2 linked regions of the Danio rerio genome follow. The protein of the gene in region 1 interacts with the protein of each later gene in a pairwise test. Links are inferred from orthologs where the notes say so. Each region holds a gene or a part of one and is shown in the gene's direction. Other genes may lie near its edges.

The links.
Region 2: the proteins of smurf2 (region 1) and sparta interact in a two-hybrid assay, tested with the Homo sapiens proteins (2 studies listed by BioGRID and IntAct). The link is inferred for Danio rerio from reciprocal best matches to the Homo sapiens genes SMURF2 and SPART.

Annotation. Positions count from the first base shown.
Region 1 is NC_133178.1:24,033,450-24,037,281, reverse strand, and holds part of smurf2 (E3 ubiquitin-protein ligase SMURF2), read left to right. Parts: intron 1-702; coding exon 703-817; intron 818-1,428; coding exon 1,429-1,607; intron 1,608-3,486; coding exon 3,487-3,624; intron 3,625-3,710; coding exon 3,711-3,831; intron 3,832-3,832. UniProt on the Homo sapiens protein: E3 ubiquitin-protein ligase which accepts ubiquitin from an E2 ubiquitin-conjugating enzyme in the form of a thioester and then directly transfers the ubiquitin to targeted substrates.
Region 2 is NC_133185.1:39,919,715-39,923,553, reverse strand, and holds the start of sparta (spartin a), read left to right. Parts: upstream 1-724; 5' UTR 725-801; coding exon 802-1,134; intron 1,135-1,362; coding exon 1,363-1,752; intron 1,753-3,839. UniProt on the Homo sapiens protein: Lipophagy receptor that plays an important role in lipid droplet (LD) turnover in motor neurons.

The DNA of each region.
Region 1 (3,832 bases):
AAGACTCCTTCTCTGGCACATATGACACTTTTGCACATCAAATTCTTGATTTTATATAAACTTAATAAAAACTTTAGCTTAATATTTACAGTGATTTGTCAATAATATGACTTCCCACAGCATTTTAATGCTTGTCAGCTATAATTTCAAGTATGGTTAAAAACAAAATGCTTCGTAACAACACAAAAGCATTTAAAAAGCCTTGTTTTAACAAAGTTCTGCATTTTTTCAGTCGATAATGGGTCCCTTTGAACTGAGCTGTTTTTTACTGGGTAAACAGTGTGTTTATTTACACTACAATTAAGAAAAGTAACCAAAGTTCTAGACAAATATAGATCATCCAGTGTCACTATTAAAGTTCTTTGAGAGTCCCGAAAAAACTCAAAGACAAAACATAATTAATAACTGTAGCTCCTAATGATACATTGAGGTCTTCAAAAGTGAAACCTGTTAACCCATAATGTTATTCATTTTCATAGTACAATCAATTCTTAATAGATTAAATCAGCTCTTGAATCATGTTCTGTTTCATTAATATAAAAGCTGAATATTCTGAAAGTTAAAATGGGTCAAAAATGTTTTGTTTCAGGCTCTTGTTTCCATCTAGTGGTAGAATAAGAGTATAACGATGTGAAATTGGGTCATGGTGGATTTATGTCTGTCAATATTTTGTGCCAATGTTTGTGCGCTTTTGTGTCATAGGGAATGGTTATACTTGCTGTCACACGAGATGTTAAATCCATACTATGGGCTGTTCCAGTATTCACGAGATGACATCTACACGCTACAGATCAACCCGGACTCGGCTGTCAATCCAGTGAGTGAAAGTGCACGAGCTTCTGAACTACACTGATAATTCTTAAGACAAGACACTGCTGAGATTTTGAGATTGGCTTTTTATAAAAATATAAAGTGTTTCTTTTATAGTACCTAATTTGTTATATCAATTTATGCTTGTGTGATTTCAATTATAAATCTCAATTACAGTTATAACTCTGCTAACTCTAACTCTGCCTTTGAGTTGCAAAGGCCATTTCTTGTTTCTAGTCTAAATATCTACATTTAATAGCAAAAACAATAGTATTAACTTACCCCACTGGCAGATACTTTCCTTAAAACAAGCAAAATCAGTGAAAACTAAACAATATTTTACTTGGTCTAAGAATTTTTTGATTTTTGGACTAGAAACAAGACAAAACAAAGTAAGAAAGGCATTTTTTGCATTGTGATTTATTCCATTTCTGTGCGCAAATCCCCAGAAAACCATCTAATAGTGCTATTCAAACCATCATCTGAAACCGTATTTATATTGCAATATTTATTGCAGAAAAATAAAATATCACAATATCAGATTTTTTCCAATATCGTGCAGCTGTCTAGAATGCAAGCGCTTTACAAAATTCACATGTTTTTATGTTTGTTTTATAGGAGCATTTGTCTTATTTCCACTTTGTGGGGAGGATTATGGGAATGGCTGTTTTCCATGGTCACTATATAGACGGGGGCTTCACTCTGCCCTTCTACAAGCAGTTGCTAGGCAAACCTATCACTCTGGATGACATGGAGTCAGTGGATCCGGACTTGCACAACAGCCTCGTCTGGATCCTGTCAGTGTGCTTAACATATCCATCTATTGCATGCATGATGAATTCTTTGATATGTAGTATTATTAGTAGTAATTACTAATAGACTAGTAATATAGTATGAGTATTTTACCAATAATATCATTAAATTTAATATAAAAAATTAATAAAACATTTAGAGTATATAAATCTCGCATAAGTGTCTTTCCAAAAACAAAGGTATTGTAGTTAACTAAAATAGAAGGATTAATTTGATGTAATGTTGTTATTATACACTCTCAGAAATAAAGGTACCCGAGCTGTCACTTGTGTGGTACCTTTTCTAAAGTTACAAACTTTTAAGTAAAAAGCCCATATTAATACCTCAAGGGTACATCTTATTAATGTAAATTATGTTAGTAAATAAACCAAACCAAAATGCATACATAAAAGAGAGTGGGGGTAAAGAGTATGGGGGGGAGGTTGCCTATATCATAGCCATAATTATTATTTTGTCTAATTGCATATATCATTAAATGGGGGTGTCACGATGGTGCAGTGGATAGCACGATCACCTCACAGCAAGAAGGTCACTGGTTCGAGCTTTGGCTGGGTCAGTTGCCATTTCTGTGTGGAGTTTGCATGTTCTCCTTGTGACCACGTGGGTTTCCTCCGGATGCTCCGGTTTCCCCCGCAGTCCAAAGATAGTTTATGAGTGCGTATGGATGTTTCCCAGTGATGGGTTGCAGCTGGAAAGACTGCGTAAAACATATGTTGGCGCTGTGTCAACCCCAGATAAATAAAGAAAGTTAATAAGAATAAATTATTAAAATTAATTAAATTTCAAGCGAGAGACTTTATTACATTTCAACCAGTTGCAAAAGGCATGTTTTATCGGCTAATTTTAAAATAAAATAACTAAATCTAAAACATATCAATTTACTTCTAAAACTAAAGGGTGTTTTAAAATAAGCTGTTAAAACATTTAAATGGCAAACAGAAAGAAATAACATTTTTTATAGAAAATACTGTAGTTATTAGATGATCCTAAAATGCAGTTATGAATTCCAGGTTGCTTTATACGAAAATGTAATTATCTAAATATTAAATCCAGTGGCAAATAAGGGATAAAAACACATAACAGATATATGTACATATAGGGATTTTCCGATCAGGTTTTTTTGCCCTCGAGTCCGAGTCATTTGATTTCGTGTCTACCGATACTGAAACCCGATCTAATACTTCAATGAAAAATAAAAAAGAATAAAGAAGAGCAAAGAAACAGATCCAGGATGTTCCTTTTTTGTAATTAACCTTATTTTGACATTCAACAAATCTGTTAACAAATAGAGCACTTCTGTGAAGTAGCTTGAACAATCAATTAATTAATAACATCAATTCTTCACTTTTGGACTTTAGTGCAACAGTAAATATAAAACAAAAACTAATATAAAACAAATAGCATCTCATTCTAAAATACCCAGAAGACAGTTCCAAGTTTACATATCTCACAGTTTTCTATAGCAATGTTGTCTTCATCAACTTTATAATACCTCCAGACCGCAGACATACTCGCGCTTTGCGCTTCAAGTATGTTCTACTTTGCTGACATTTAACCAATAGCGTCTCTGTAACAAAGTAATGTCATGCTGCACGCGTTGCTGTCAAGGAAGAGGTCTAACTCTGTGCCACCGCATAAACTATAGATGTGTTAAAAAATAATGAGAATTAACGTCTGAAAGCGTGTGATCTACCCCAAATTTTCCAATTACGTGATCGGATCTGGACATCCCTATGTACATACATAGAAAATTATGCAAATGATATAGTATATTTTAATCACTTTAATATACATACATGAATATATAATTGTGTGTGCACTATTAATAGTAATTATTTTTCCTCTATCTGTTTTTGTGTTCAGAGATAATGACATCACCGGGGTGTTGGACCACACGTTCTGCGTTGAACACAATGCATATGGAGAGATCATTCAGCATGAGCTCAAACCCAATGGCAAGAGCATTCCAGTCACGCAGGACACCAAGAAGGAGTATGTGAGGTAAGATATTCACACCTGTCAACCTCTCAGTCCTGCTTTTCTGATGCTTGTCTGTGGGTGTCATCAAATGTCCTGTTTCTGCGCAGGCTGTATGTGAACTGGCGGTTCCTGAGGGGCATCGAGGCTCAGTTCCTGGCCCTGCAGAAAGGCTTCAACGAAGTCATTCCACAACACCTGCTCAAAGCGTTTGATGAGAAAGAACTGGAGG
Region 2 (3,839 bases), on another chromosome or scaffold:
GACTGGTAACAGGAAATTACTATGGGTGTTTTATACCAGATTTTTTTTTCTTAATTCAAGAAGCAAGCACAGATTAAAAAACTAACGACTAACATGGTAAATATTCCTTTACAACGTTGTAATCGCACCAGTTTATTCACCCAACAGTCTGGGTTTCATTCCCATAACTTATGTTTAAGTTTCTTTCATCTGTTAAACTGATACCAAAGCTGTAAAAACTGCAACCACTGACTTCCACAGTGTTTTTCTACTATTGATGTGGTTACAGGTGTCTTCTCCCCCAAAATATATTTCCTTCAACGGGAAAAAAACCCAAAAGTAGGAAATTAAGAAGTGTCATATTTGGGTAAACGAACCATTAAATCCTTCATAACCACTACACGACCAGCTGCTAACGTGTACTCTTTATACTAAGGTTACGTTCGTCCTACTTAGTTAGACAACCTCTGCTTTTTTTCTATATGACGAGCTAGTCTCAGTGACTGCTATGCTTCTCAACTACGAAATATGTCACATCAATGTAAACCTTTGTTGCGCGCTTTCAGCTGTTAAAATATTTTGTTTGCGTGTGTGAGAACAGCTTGAACTTTAATTACGCATTTCAGTAATCTAGTTGAACCTGCTTGGTGACAATACATCATTTAGTCAAGAGTCATCATGGTAGAGAAATGTGCTCGTTAATAAATTAGCAGCACTCTGGATAAGCAAGTGGGCCACGCTTTACGTGCGTTTTACGCACTCAACTTTTTTGTTTAATCGTTTCACAATTTCAGCTCGGACTGTGCGTTTACAAACGCGAGCATGCAGACGCCTGAACCCGCCGAAATTCGTGTCATTCGCGAGAACTACGATAAAGCTCTGCAGTGTCTGAATACCGGACTTCAGTTAGATGAAGCTGGCAATAAAGACCAGGCTCTGGTCCTGTACAGGCTGGGCCGGCGGCACCTGCTCAGTGGGTTGCAGGTGGACACACGGGGCGGGCGCTGCACCGGCCGCTGCTGGGACTCTGCCCGACAAACGCAGCTGAAGATGGGAGAGACTCTGCGCACCATCACTGCTCGCCTCGGGGCTCTAGAGTCCGCTTCAAACACGGGTCAGAGACTTTATCCGACTCTCCCTGTCTTCCAGGACAAGGTACAAACAAATTGAATATATAACTCATAAATTATATATCTACATATCAGTAGGCCAAAGTGCTACAATAGTGTGTAAATAGCCTATACTAAAATGTTTTTTTTTTCTTTCTTTTTTTTTTTAAACAAGTGCTTTTGTTGGATATTCTTAAAATAGCATCAATTGGGTAGGAATTTAACTTTTTAATCTTGTGCAAGTAACTTTTATCCAGCTCTACCTGTCTTCCAGAACTCCCAGAGAGCATTTAACAGCAGAGGGGCCTCAGGAAGGGCCCCTTCTCGCCCTGTTTCCCCTCCAGTGGGCTTCGCGGTGCCTAATGAACTCCCACCAGCCTACACTCCTCAGCCAACAGACGGGCATCTGTCACTCTCTCATGGAGCCAACAGAGCGTTTCCAGATGCCCCACACCAGGGGTCCCGGCGTCAGGCTGTGGCCCCGGTCAATCTCAGAGAGGCCGGGATGGAGATTATGTTCTTGCCCAGCGGGGTGCAGATGTTTTTTGTGTCTGCTGAGGGTCGGGTCACTGCACCTTCTTATCCAGGGTACCTGAGGATCATCATATACAGCCAGGACTCGGATGGCAGTGCCAACACTGGCTATGCTCCAGCTTACCTGCAGGTAAACACCAGCACAAATGCAGTAGTCAACAATCAAACTGAATCAAAAATGTTATTCAGAATTGTCCAAGTACAAGAATGGGAGTTGTTCAATACTTTTTGGACAACTTCGAAGAAAGTCTGTTTCGTTGTTCACCAGTGAACTTATTTTTCTTATTCTCCATTTATTGTTATATAAATTGAAAAAAGATAATAAAGCCAAATAAAATAAAATGCACTAAATAATTATTCATTGGATTTACTTTTTTAAGGTAAGTGGTTGCAAATAGTTTATATGGGCTGAATTTAAGTTGAGCATTACTAAATATAATGTGTTTGTTTAAATTCAGGGTTGCAGCTGGAAGGGCATCCACTGCGTAAAACATATGCTGGATAAGTTGGCGGTTCATTCCACTGTGGCGAACCCTGATTGATTAAAGAGACCAAGCCAAAAAGAAAACTAATAAATGAATGAATGTTTAAATACAGTCCATAAAATTTTTTTGCAACCGCTTACCTTAAAAACTTTAGTCCAATTAAGCATTTTTTTTCAGTGTTATATGAGAAACATGGTGAATGGCAGCTAAAGCTGAACGACAAATTTTCTAATCAAATAAAAATATATATATTTTTCACGTACACACTGTCATACGCAGAAATGCTTCTGAACAGCCGTGATCTTAAAAAATATCAATAAGAAAAAAATGATTGAATAAAGAATTAGAATGCGAGTTCGACTAGAAGATGAAGATGAGGTTCTTCAGAGTTCCATTAATGGTCGCCAAATTCAATAGTTCTTTACGATTGTCACAATGCTGGAGAGATTGTGGAGATGCGGGGGACTAGGTTCACATATTTTGGGAATGCCCCAAAATACAAGTGTATTGGCAAGAGGTTAAAAGGGAGATTAGTAAAGTTTAAGGATAAAACATACCAATGCACCAAGTATTTTTTTTTTGCTTGATGACTTTCCCTCTGATCAATTCAGTATGTCTCACCTTTGCACTACACTTATTATTAATAACAGCTTGGAAAATAATTACAGTGAACTGGATAAAGACCCGCTGACCTACTTTGACAGAATGGACACCGAGGCTGAATTTATATTTGTGAAAATGACTGCAGATTTGCAGTTGAAATCAGGCATTTTTCAACAGACCTGGGCATTTATCGAAACATATTTACTTGATCTTTGAAATGCTGTTAGGGGCTTTGTTGTAGTTACTGTCTTTTATATTGGAGTATTGGATGTAAACATTTTGAGTAAACTAAGTGTATGTTTATAAAAACTTTAATCAAAACACAGTTTAAAAAAAGAAAGGGAATGCATATAGCTATAGAAAACAAAATGTATATAAAACTTAGCTGTACAAATATGGAAAACTTTTAATTTAACTGAAACATGCAGCGTACAAAACGAAAGGAAACTGAAAATATAAAACTTATAGTAAATTACAAGATATAAAAAAGACAAATAAATTACAAATTAAAAAAAGAATATACATTGCCTCTACTGGACTGTTAAGACAGATATATTTTTCTAAATGTTTTTCTAAATATTTCTTTAAAAAAATGCATTTTATTTTGTTAGATTTATGCTTAAATTAATAATAAAAAAGGAGAATACCAGCACAAGTATACTCTGCTTGGCCTGTTTCTTTTTCTCACTTATTTTCTCCTCCATTTGTTGTTATATGGAAAAACCTAAATAAATATAAATAGTAGATTGGCAACTAAATAAAAGATTAAGCTGAAGAACAAATTTTCAAATCAAAAAAAGTCTTGGTTAATTTGTCAAGTTTTGTAAACTAATTTCGAGAGCATCACATGCATTGATTGATCTCAGCTGGTCCTGCGTCAACAATCACTGATAAACCAATCACACGAATCCAAGCCTCCAATAAAGAGCCCAATATGTCTTACCTCCCTTCATATTTGAAGAATCTCCTATCCACCCTATCCACCCCATCTCCCCTTTCCTCTTTTACCAGGGGGAGCTCTTGAGACCTACATGCTCTCGGACCAATTTCCATTCTGTACGACCAGGTGGGAGACCTGGGCTCAAGTATCTCTGAGCTGTGAATGTAACAAACAGTGGAACACCCACAA